3 linked regions of the Drosophila melanogaster genome follow. The protein of the gene in region 2 interacts with the protein of the main gene of each other region in a pairwise test. Each region holds a gene or a part of one and is shown on either strand. Other genes may lie near its edges. The genes, in order: alphaKap4, CG7208 and lush.

Region 1 (3,790 bases), on a different chromosome or scaffold from region 2:
TCAGGCCTGATTGATTGATTGATGGATGGGATGGCTTGATCTTGTGGCAATGTCAATATGCTTTTTACGGCCCTCGTCATTTGGCGCTAAGTTTATATTAAATTTCATTTTAATGGCCGTCGAAAAAACACAAACTCAGGCCGCTGATATGGGAAAATGTATAAGTATATATAGCTTATTTTCCCCTTCTTTATCGGTTTCCTACAGCATTGCTTGGGGAATGGGAGGACTCGGCCGTGCTGGGTATAATAACTTTCTGCATCATATCTGCAAGGCTATTAAATACACATAAAATTCGGTGCGGTATGCCAGCACTTTTCCCACGCTGCCCACGCAACACGGAACGCTTTTACCGCCCACACTTTCCACACTCTTGCCTCGAGCTGCAACCAATGGGAAAATCATAAAAATTTATGATTGCAATAATCTGGCTTTCGCACGAAACTTGTTTTTCATGCGGAAGTTCAATTGATGCAGGACCTACACAAAAATACAGACACATACATATAAAAACGATTCTTTTGCGGCCAGTATTTAAGCATCTCTTTTCAAGGCCATGGCCGTACTAAGAGAGAGTGTTCTTCAAATCATTTTATATTCACTCAATATAAAATCGCTTTATATAGAAAAAGTTCTGGAATTTGGATGGAAAAGTACAAAGGTATGATTAATGTTACTTCATATAAAAGCACATTAGAATTTAGTTGCGATGTGTGGTTTGGCGGGAAAGTAGTTACCAATGATTTTACGTGCCACAGCTGCGATTTCCTCATGTTCGCTGCTTTGGAGCATCCTGATATTATTTAAAGCTCCACTCCATTCGATGATGCCGGACACCTCTGCCGAGAAAGATGGATCCACATCTAGCATAGTGCTCAGTATATCGAGCACATTAGATAAGATGTCTCTTTCCTGGCAGAAGAGTAAATTGCAGAACTCTGGAATTACTCCCTGTCTCATAAGATAGCACAGGAGATTCTTGTCCTTATCGATGGCCAACGTGGTGATTGTCAAGGCAGCTGCAGATTTTAATGAAATCGCATCAGCTTTTAAGCACTCCAGTATTTTATGCAGGAGACCTGCATTCATAATGGCGTGCCTTTGGAATATATTTCCGTCAGCGATGTTTAGCAAAAGCTTAAGAACTTGACAGCGAATATCTGGATCACTATTGGACATCAGAGCCGATAAATGGGGCAAAAGGTTATTGTTAAGCAACTCTTGAATCTGCTCTTCGGATCCAGTTGCTATATTTATTAGGGCTTGCAGTGCGGCGTTCTGAACCGTAACGTTCGGATGCTCCAGCAAGTATATGATCCTGGGTACAACTTCAAAATCAAGTAACATTTGAATCGTTTCATTTCCATGGGCCAAATTACGCACTGCCATAAGTGCGTCCTCTAAAACGTTGGCCTCTGGGTTGTACAATACTATGTTCAATGCCTGAATGATCTCAGCTGCATTATCAGGTGGCGATGGTTGAGAGCTTATGCACAGTTTTCTTAGAACCCAGGTTACATGACTCAACATTAAAGTGCAAGTGCTTTTATCCTGAATAATAGACATCAGCTTTTGCATAAGTCCGTGTCTTATGATATAGTCACGGAGGTTCGGAGCAAAGTGCAAGAGATTCCCCAAACTCAATATACCCTTTTCGCAGACTTCAGGATCGGGTGACTGAAGAAGGCGAATCAATCGTGGCACGGCGCCAGCCTTCGCAATCTGCAAGAGTTTAATTACAATATAATAGGAATAATAGCAATAGCCTAGAAAATAATATAAAACCCACTAAATTTGAGTGCTCCGATGAGCCACTGGCTATATGAGCTAAAGCATCTGCGGCGTCGGCTCGAATTTTGTTCTTATTTCCGTGGCCAAGGGACTCCACCAGGTTTCCTATCGTATTGCTCTTAAGTAACTTATTGACGTCGGGAACAACTTCCGAGGAGGTTAATTTACATTTGGTTAAAGCATTGTAAATAGTCAGCTCTTTCTGGAGCTCAGCCTTTTTGGCTTTTTCCAATCGAAGCGTCCGCAGCATCATCAAGTTCTGCCCTTTTTTTAGGAAGCGGCGTTTACGCTTCTGCATTGTATTTGTATGGAAAATTTTGTATTGTGTATTTAAAATTTTGCTATGTGTTTGGTCTACGATAAAATTGTGTTTCTTTTTTTTAACAAATAGGGCAGAACCTTCTTAACTGAATCGTTTTCGGAAACTTTCTTGATCACGGGAACTTTTTGTATAACTGTGATAGTTATAGTTATAAATAAATATTAAGGTTACATTAGCTCTCAACTGAAATGATTGCATGTTATATTTATTCTGTTTGAATTGCAAACAGAATCTCCAAATATTTTTCACAGTGCAGAGATGAAGGCCACCCACCCAGTTTCAACCCACAGCACGAGCTGGCAAAGAGCCAGCCAGGATAAAGGACTATGCCTTATCGCATGCCGTCCGATCTGCGTTAGGTTATCAACGATATGCTTAATTTAGTTACCCCAGTAAAGACCTCTGCTCCCCATCCCATTGCTCCACTATAACGGTCCCTCGGCAAGTGTAATAATTTGTTGTTATTATCTCTCCGGCGGAGGCGACCCAAAAGACAATGCCGTTCACATTGGCCCAGTTCCAAGGGCGAAAGGCGGTAGGCATCCTTTGCATGTGGCATCCATCTATATGTAGATACATATACATATATATATATATTCGTGTAGGTACAGCAGCATAATGAGCGCATTACATGCCATGTGGCACTTGTGCCTATCTCCGATGTTCTCAACACTTGGCGCTTTGCCTGCGTCGAAGGCATAAATTTCAAGGACGCAAAAACAGGCGCGGGAGAATCGGAAAAACATGGCCCAAGAACATGCGAAGCGCGAAAAATAAATTGACAGCCCGAAGGTATGCAACGCTTTTGCTTGTGCTCTGCCATTTTTGACCTACATGTGGATAAATGTGTGTGGGTATGGGCGGAAATGGTGTGGGAGTGGCAGTTAATTGAAAAAATACCAACTTAAAGGCGAAAACTACACATTAAAGAACCAAAAAAATCTATCTTTGATCCGAAAATGCACAAACTTTTAAAGTGATTTTCCCAATGCAGTTGTCTAAAAATTACAATCTTCCGAATGTTTGTTTCCACACATTTAATAAAATGAAATTTTAGTTTTTATGACAATTTCATGGCGTTCATTGTGATTAAAAATTAAGTAGAGCACGCATTACGGTAATGCTCGGCATTTTGAAGAGAGCCCCTCATGCTGTTTAATAATGATAATGACTATAATTTATTGAATAAAAAATACCTCGTACTGGCCAAGAGCTCCAGTAATGTCATTAATTGCACACGCATGAATTTTTGATGCATTTGGTTGCGAAAATCAGTTAAACGTGAATTTATGCGATGCAGAAAGGCTCAAGGGTTAAACACGATGGGCATTGAAGTGTTTAAAACAAATATTTAATTAACGACAGGAATCATTTTGAAAGCGTTAAATCAGCAAAAATAAATCAGTCGTAAAAATACGTAACTAAACCAAATGGGTAAATGTTCCACAATTGCGTTTGTGCATGGGGCCGATTAAAATAAATATTTTATGAAATGAACCAAATTCATTCTCACCTTTAAAAAATGGGAATATGCATTCGATATTTCTCCATTTTTGAGGAAAGGAGTAGGCAAATGGCCGACGGTTATATGAAAATTGCCGCCCTGTGACGTGTGCGCAATTTCCGCCAGCCGAGGTTTTCCGAGGCGGGGTGATGCGGAGTGGATTGGCTGGCGGA
Region 2 (4,581 bases):
CTTCATAAGCTTGGAGTGCAGCGTGATGGCGCCGAAGAACTGCACCTCCTGACTCTGTGTGGGCGGTGGGGTGATTGGGTGGGCGGTAGGTGCATGAGTATACATATCCGGGTAATTGATGCATTGATGCGCAGGTCCTGCGTGGTACTCACCTTGCCGAGCTGCATTAGCTGCCAGGAAAACTGCCAGGCCTGTGGACTGGCCTCCGCATCGGTAAGCCATTCATGGGTGATCGCCTGGTTCTGCGAGTTCGAGCGGTAGAACGACACGACCGCCTCCTCCAGACGCGCAATGTCAATGGGCTCCATGTGGAATGGCTGCTGCTGCTGCTAATGCTGCTGCTGCCGAGAGGCAGTCTCCTGTCCGCTAATCCTCGGGTGGTGGTTTTCTTTGCTTCTGCCTGTGGGCACTGGATTCGCGAGTGTGACCAACGCGCGAAGTCACCAATTCGCGGACGGGCCGAGTGTGCGGTCACTCCATTTTCGACTTTGCCGCGCTTTTTTTCCTCCTGTATTTTTTATAAAAAGTGTTGAAATGTACGTATTTAATAATAAATAAATATGTAATATAGTATAAATTGCTTGTGGCCTATATGCTCGATATATGCAGGAAAAATTCAATTTATAACAACATTTATTCATTCGTACACTTCATAAAATTTTACTATTTCTATTTAGTAAATACTCTCTGCAATTGAGGAGTATCTTAACAAGTTAACAGTGAATTTGGAAAGCCCAAAAAGTCCTATATAAAATCGAATTTAAGTTGCCAGAAACAGTATCGCAATTTGGAACACCGGTCGGCGATGAAATCCCTGCTATCCTCATCGATATACACCTCAATAAGGACGTTGTCGCAGAATTGAGCGACCTGCCTCTCCACGTCTTGGCAGTCCAAAGTGGAGCGATTAACGACGGCCCATCTGTCGGTATTCAAGCCCGGGTTCTGTGACTCCAGTAATGCGAAGATCACACAGAGCGACTTATTCGGACTGACCAAGGGCAGGACAAAGGTCGTCCTCACTAGATCGAAGAACTTAATGAAGGGCTGGCAGGAGTGGGGCGGCTCCACACCTTCGACTGCTTCGATGACCCATTGGGCCGTTTCGTTATCCTCGCAGACCACCAGCATGTTGCAGTCGAATGTCTGCGTTGAGGCACACTCACTAAAATTGAGATCGCTGACGCTCGATCCACTGTCCTCGAATATTGAATGAAAGTGCTCCATTAGGGCGATAGTGTCCACACCATCCGAGCACGAACTCTGGTTAGTTATCACCAAGGCGTAACGTCGGTTCTCGGGCATTGTGTTCGCATACGGCGGCCGAGTATCCCTCTTGCGACAATTCTTTGGCGTGCAGCAGTCCTTCTTCCTCTCCTTGCACTCCTCGGCCTGCTCCACTGAGCAGCTTGTGCGGCTGGTCTCCGTCTTGCAGCAGTTCATCAGGTGGATCTTCGAACCAAATATGGAAGCCATGCTGCCGGCTCGTTTGTCCGCGAGCAGATTCTGCTGCGGAACCACCTTGACCACGCTGTTCTCTTGGTTGCTTCGTATTCTGTGAATGAATCAGTTGGGTATCCCTATCATTTACATATATAGTTATTACACACAACACACACCTTTTGGCAGCCGATTCCTCATCGGAGGCGCACACTCTCGTCTTTCGCGCTACGGAGCTGGCGCTCGTGCTTGCGGATTCGAAGCTGGCGTTCGTCTGGTTCGACGCACTGGATGCGGAGGAATCTTGCGAGTTCGAAGCCTCGCAAAACTGCGGAAGCCTGTCCACTGGCAGAAGCATAGAGCTCTTCGGCATGTTAAGGAAATCCAGTTGGCTCTTGCCCTCTGGAATTGTATAGAATTGGAGAAATCCTACAAAGGAATTTTCGTGGTACAGCGAAAAGGCTGTACCATTAAGCGTTGTCGACGGATAAGTATAATCGCTTTTATCCGGAATTCTGAGCAAATTTGTAATAAACTCATCGTTTTCCAGAGACTTGTGAAAACTCTGTACGTTTAGGCGAGCCAAGGGAAGACCTACTTTTACCTCCAGTTTTTGCTTCAATTCACCAATGGTCGCATTATTGTGGAGCTCGAACATTTCCGGCATCTGTATGGGATTGAGAAATGAAAATATGTATTTATTAAATTTAAGCTTCAATTATTATAGCTCCATTTATAAGCCACAATTGTAAAATATGTGCGGGCTTAAGATAACTGCATACCACACTTGTGTTTCCCTCGGCATCTAATTTCACTTTGACGAACATTTTATGTAAGAGAAGATATTAAAACTTGAATTAACAATTGGTAATATACAAAATAAGTGTGTCTCTCAAAATAGAATATTCAAGATGTTGATGCGCTTTTTTATTGGAGAATCTTTAGAACCGTTATGCCAAAGCTTTCGTTTTACAGTATGCTTGGCACTTTACGACACTGAATGCTTTGAACGATGAACCAGTAATAAATAAGATAATTATGTAAGGTAGTAGTTACCTTTCCATCCTCCTTGAGGTACTTTGATTCAATGTAAGCTAGTACAAACACCATTTTTTTTAAAGTTTAAAATCAAAATTATTAATTTAACGAAAAGAGTTAAAAACACTTTTGGAGATCTTGTATAAAATTTAATATTGTAAAATATCTCACTCGAATTTTGACTTGACACTGGGAAAATGGCACTCTGCAACACTGGTTTTGCGGCATTACTGTTTACGAATTGGGTGGAAAGCGAAACTGAGTTTTTTTGTTGACTGAAAAGCAATGAAATAACCAATTGTAATGGCGGGTAAACGTGTTTTGGTCATCGATAATGGATCCTACGAATGCCGCGTGGGCTGGAGCGACTCCAAGGAGCCGGACTTGCGGTTCCGCAATGTGCTGACCAAGCCGCGCAAGGATCGCAAAAAGGAAGCAGCTGCTTCGGAGGGATCCGCATCGCAGACAACAGTGGAGCAATCTGCCGAGATCCAGGTGGGCAATGACATCACCAACATCGAGGCGGTGCGTGCGCATCTGAAGAGTCCATTCGAGCGGAATGTGATAACCAACTGGAATCACCAGGAGCAGATCTTCGACTACATATTCACCAAGATGGGATTCGATGGACAGGACAAGATCGACCACCCAATCATCCTCACAGAGGCGCTGGCCAACCCCAACTTTTGCCGCCAGCAGATGAACGAGCTGCTCTTCGAGTGCTACGGTATTCCGTCTGTATCCTACGGCATAGATGCGCTCTACAGCTGGAAGCATCATCAGCAAAAGCAGAAAAATGTTGTTTATTGGCCCTTGCAATTGCTAACATCCAATTAATACGAGATTTCCCCTTTAGATATCCGATGCCCTGATCATTTCCTTTGGCTACAGCACCACCCACGTCATTCCCGTGTTAGATGGCAAACTCCAGCTGGAGCATGTGCGTCGCCTGAATGTGGGTGGCTACCACATCATCACCTACCTCTTCCGGCTCATGCAAATGAAGTATCCCGTCCATCTGAATGCCATCACCATCAGTCGTATGGAGAAATTGGTCCATGAGCACTGCCACATTGCTGTTGATTACAAGGAGGAGCTGGTGCAATGGGCCCAGATGGACTATTACGACGAGCACATAATGAAGATACAACTGCCGTACAATGCGGTGACCGCCACTAACGCCATGCTAACCGCTGAGCAGAAGCAGGAGAAGCGTCGCGAGCTGGCACATCGTCTGCTGGACATAAAAAAAAACCGGGAGCAGGAGAAACTGCGCGAGGATGAGCAGCAGTTATTCGTCTACAACAAGCTGAGGCAACTGTACGAGCAGAAAAAGCTGGACAAGTTTGAGCGAGCTCTACAGCAACAGCAGATTGGTACATTGGAGGACTTGGATTCCCTCATTGCAACCATAAACTCGCGTATTAAGCGTGCCCAGGAGAGAGCTCAGAGTGGCCCGCGCCCCAGCAAGCAGCAGGAGAGGCTGAACAAGATGCCGAAACCTCCAGAGGGCATGTCCCAGGCGGACTGGTTGGCCGAACTCCAGGGCAAGCGGGAGAAAATACTCGGGCGCAAGCAGGCGCGCCAGCAGCAGCGATCCGAGCAGGCCAAGCGACACACCCACGCCGCGCAGGAACGGATGCGAATCATTTCATCACTGGCCAAGAACGAGAAGCGGCGCAAGGCGAACGGCGAGGAAGAGGACGATGGCTTTGGGATGAACGACAACGACTGGGATGTGTACAAGCGAATCAATCGCTACAACGACGACAGCGATTCGGATGCAGATAACGAAAAGTTGATGCAGTTCGATAAGATCCTAAATCACTATGATGCCAACACCGATGGCAACTCCAATGTTCCGCCACAGAGTGCCGCCGAGAACTACCAGCTGCACTTTGGGGTTGAGAACATTCGCGTGCCGGAGGTTCTATTCCAGCCCAGCATGATTGGTTGCTCAGAGGCGGGGCTAGCAGAACTAATAGCATTCGTGCTGAAGCTATTTCCCGCCGCTGAGCAGCAGCGCCTGGTTGAGCACGTGTACCTAACCGGCGGTTGTGCCCAATTCAAGGGTCTCAAGGAGCGACTAATCAAGGAGCTCAT
Region 3 (4,202 bases), on a different chromosome or scaffold from region 2:
TCCGGAAATCCAGCGCACATGGCAGTGTCCGGAACGTGCTGTACAAATGACGACCTGCAATCGGACTGCTTCCAAACCGGCAGGTTAACCTGAAGATAGGAGTAATACATATTTTCTTAATTTAAAAAAGCTTTCTTTGTTATGTTCAGCTTGAGTTACTAAATTGCTGAAACCAATTTGTTTAGATCAATATAAGAAATTGAAAGCTTAAGAACAAAATAAAAACGCTGTATATAAAATGAAATATACTTTAATATGCGACCCACCTCCATGAGGATGTTAGAATGAGGACCGCCAAACTTTTGGGTGCCCCAACCGGTGACAATGGCGTTTCTATCCGACCAATCTTCGTTCACGGGCGGCATGCAAACTGGCCAGATGTAGGTGTTGAATATAGTCGCCCTGTCGATTCTGACAATTGCAATATCATTGTCGTAGTTCTGTGGATTATAATCGATATGGAGCACCATGTTGGCAATCCGGAAATCCCTCGCCCTCGTCTCATTCAGCATATGCGTGTTGTACTCGCCCAGACGCACGAAGATGTCCTCCTTGTTCTTCTTGTAGATGCAGTGAGCGGCAGTTAGGACATGACGGTCGGTGATCAGGACACCACCGCACCAAACGAAGGGCAGACCCTCCTGCAGCAGGGCCGCCATCCAAGGCCACTCGTCTGGCTCGGCTGGCCGTCCACCGGTGAGGCGGGGAAACTGCCTGGACGTGATCCCACAACCTCGCTGCTCCGGCTTATTAACGATGCGCGGCTCATCACCGTCCGCACTGGTCACGACTTGCGGACTAAATCGGTTGCTCGTCGACTGGTCAGTGCAGCAAATGCCTATGGAGCTGAAAGACAAATTATTTGTACATATAATACAAGGATGCCAAGCCATTAAGAAGAAAAATTCATATACCTTTTCTCAATGATGCAAAGCTGGGAGACCAGACGCCAGACATCATTCTTAAGTTCTGGCATGCGACAGTAGATAATGTGGCGACATCGGCCGGATTCACCCAATGGAGTGCTACATGCTCCATAATCCTTGTTCTCCTGCGGTTATCATTTGTAGTTACCTGATACTGGTATGTATGCATAAGACATAAACTCACCAGCAATTGCGAGGTGGGAGCCTGTCGCTTGTTTAGGCGATGTTGGGACAGGAAACTTACGACGCGGTTTTCCCCAGTGCGATTTTCGTATACCTGATTCTCCGACTCCCCCCATTGAAACTCATCATTATCGCTGAAGTCGAGAAGATCTGGGTGGTAGACGAAAATCTTTAGGTTTGGTTTACATTAGATTCTTGGAATTTGTCTTAGAAATATCAAGTATTTGGGTGAAATGAGTTTTAACTTTGATAAATAACTTTGCTATTAAATGCACCTGCACAATTTTTTATGTTGGTATAAAAACGTGACTCACCTAAAAAATCAGTGGATACAGTCTTGGCGATTGTACTCTGCGGGATATAGCCCAGTAAAATCACCAATGCCCAAAGAAATGCCTTCATTTTGAGTTATTTTCGCGAGTGCAGTGGGAATTTTAATCGCGTGTCGCTTCCGTTGCCCGCTGAATCAGTTCTGTTTTGACAGTTCTCCAACCAGCTAAAGCTACTTCTCCGATATGGAGCTGAGCTCAGATCGGCTCAATTTACATACGTCTTGCCTTGGATACTGCTGTTGAACCTGTTCGATGCGTCGACACTATGGGGTTTTCCTGGCTATTAAAGCGTCTTACTCCATGCTCAGTTCCCAGGCGAAAGCTTAATGGGATTGGAACCGCTAGCGATATAGTAACTATTATATAATACTTGAGTTAATCCGAGCACTTGGCTTATCTGTAGGGCGGAAAGCGAGCCACTGAAATGACGTCCCCTTTAATGCCTCTGAGCTTAGACCCAATTTGGTGTATTATCTCAATGTTGCTGGCAACAGCTTGGCAACATGTTGCCAGGGGCGAGTAGTGCCCATGATGATCAGTTTGGATTCTCCGAGGCGAACGTGATGTGCATCGCAAATGATCCGGTTCGGTGGGTTTTGATTCCATAGAAGTATCATCTCCGAAATACTAAGGAAGATTTTATACTCAGTTATATTCTCTATTTAATTGCCTTTTGACGCTTGCACATCAAAGTAGTAATAATAAATCAATTGCACGGCACAACCGGAATCGAAGAAAACATTTGCGATGCACGGTTTGATTGTCACTGCAGAAATGATTTTAATGTCTTAATTTAAAACCCAACCCTTTAACATTTTAACATAATTTAAGTAATAGTATTGAATGATGGAGGCGAAGAAAATGGAATGGGGCGACTTCAGTTGGCAGATTATGTTATTATGTAATAAGACGAATACCGAATAAGTGTACTAAAAAATAAGTTTAAAATAGAAAGCGTCAAACAAATAATTAGTCAAAATATCCTTAAAAAATATTTAAAATATATTATTTTAATATTATTGCGAAGACCATATTTTTATTATTTAACAATTTTTATAGGTAGAGCACTGGATTTGAATTTCTGGGAATATTATATGATCACATATACATATGAATATACATATATGCGGTGCTATAAACTCATCGCTTACCCACTTTATCCTGAAAATTGGTTTAAAAATTATTATTTATTATTTTTTAACAGGTATCTCTAAAATTCGACTATTGTCGTGTCATTCAAATGGTACAAATACAACTTCCTAGTCAACTCAAATGGCGTGCGAGTGTGTTACTTAATTATTAATCCCTGCGATTTAATTACCACCTTTCCCTGCCACCATGATCACCTATAAAACTCTCCTACGACATGGTTACTCAACGTATTTAGCTTTCCGCCACCATGAAGCATTGGAAACGACGCTCTTCCGCTGTTTTCGCGATCGTCCTGCAAGTGCTGGTACTCCTGCTACCCGATCCTGCAGTTGCCATGACGATGGAGCAGTTCTTGACCTCGCTAGACATGATCCGCAGTGGCTGTGCGCCGAAGTTTAAGCTCAAAACAGAAGATCTCGATCGGCTTCGCGTGGGTGATTTCAACTTTCCGCCATCGCAGGATCTTATGGTGAATGCCGCTTTCATTTTGCAGGCACCAGTGTTTGAATCCTTTATCCTTTTAGTGCTACACAAAGTGTGTGTCTTTGATGGCGGGCACTGTGAACAAAAAGGGGGAGTTCAACGCTCCCAAGGCGCTGGCCCAACTTCCGCATCTGGTTCCCCCGGAAATGATGGAGATGTCCAGGAAATCCGTTGAAGCTTGTCGGGATACGCGTAACTACACCCACACTTACCTTTCATAGCTGTAAATATATGTAAGGTATATCTTTGCAGATAAACAATTTAAGGAATCTTGCGAGAGGGTCTACCAGACGGCCAAGTGCTTCTCTGAAAACGCCGATGGGCAGTTCATGTGGCCTTAAAAATGTTTCTGGAAACTAAATTCATACTGGTTCATCCTTTAATGACCAATCCTTGGATGATTGCTTTATTATCTATGTTGAAATCATCAAATAGAATTGGAATTCGTAAAACATAAATTATGACAAGAAAGGAAGTTAGCTTCAAAAAGCCGAAGTATATACTTATATACCCTTGCAGTAATATGATGTTGATTAAATTGAAACCAAAATTTATATATTAAAGACAACTTATGTATACAGAATAACATCAATTTATGATTAAAAACGACGAAACTGTAGTTTGTGTTATATTATTTCATTCGAAACTCTATTTTCCGACTATTCGTATGCCTATATGACAAAGTCGTCCAATTCTGATTGAATCAAAACTGAAATTATATATTGTCAAAGTAACAAAGAACATTTTGTTTAAATTAATTTTTCGATTATGTATATACCCGCAATCGACTGAATTCGATAAGCAAATCTTTTTTTTTGAAAACAATCTTTAATCATATATTTGAAAACCTTTTTGTAGATTAAAATGGCACCCCAAAATATAAACACGCCGCATTGATTTCAAACATGTTATAGTTTATTGCTGATATTATTAACTAAATACAACGGTTTTATGTTTGCATAACGCATACTTATACATTTTGTAATCGATAAACATCCAATTGGCTTAGCAATGCATTCAAACTTAGGGAGATCTTTGCATTCAAGAGGTTACAAAATAAATGCAAATCTTATACAAAATGGTTGCCTTGCAAATCTGCGTACAAAGTTCTCTGTAATCGAGAGTA

The links.
Region 1: the proteins of CG7208 (region 2) and alphaKap4 interact in a two-hybrid assay, tested with the Drosophila melanogaster proteins (one large-scale study listed by BioGRID).
Region 3: the proteins of CG7208 (region 2) and lush interact in a two-hybrid assay, tested with the Drosophila melanogaster proteins (one large-scale study listed by BioGRID).

Annotation. Positions count from the first base shown.
Region 1 is NT_037436.4:6,008,863-6,012,652, forward strand, and holds alphaKap4 (alpha Karyopherin-4), read right to left. Parts: upstream 2,160-3,790; 5' UTR 2,090-2,159; coding exon 1,790-2,089; intron 1,723-1,789; coding exon 694-1,722; 3' UTR 584-693; downstream 1-583.
Region 2 is NT_033777.3:18,183,039-18,187,619, forward strand, and holds CG7208 (uncharacterized protein), read right to left. Parts: upstream 2,678-4,581; 5' UTR 2,551-2,677; coding exon 2,497-2,550; exon of another isoform or gene 2,460-2,496; intron 2,360-2,459; exon of another isoform or gene 2,268-2,359; coding exon of another isoform or gene 2,223-2,267; intron 2,108-2,222; coding exon 1,620-2,107; intron 1,556-1,619; coding exon 745-1,555; 3' UTR 618-744; downstream 1-617. Other genes in the region: cdm (cadmus), read right to left, coding at 1-54, 153-308; Arp5 (Actin-related protein 5), read left to right, coding at 2,782-3,276, 3,335-4,581.
Region 3 is NT_037436.4:19,603,890-19,608,091, reverse strand, and holds lush (lush), read left to right. Parts: upstream 1-2,001; 5' UTR 2,002-2,030; intron 2,031-2,120; exon of another isoform or gene 2,121-2,136; intron 2,137-2,645; 5' UTR 2,646-2,840; coding exon 2,841-3,062; intron 3,063-3,117; coding exon 3,118-3,268; intron 3,269-3,328; coding exon 3,329-3,417; 3' UTR 3,418-3,694; downstream 3,695-4,202. Other genes in the region: CG9372 (uncharacterized protein), read right to left, coding at 1-89, 267-846, 915-1,051, 1,111-1,259, 1,424-1,511. UniProt on the Drosophila melanogaster protein: Odorant-binding protein required for olfactory behavior and for activity of pheromone-sensitive neurons.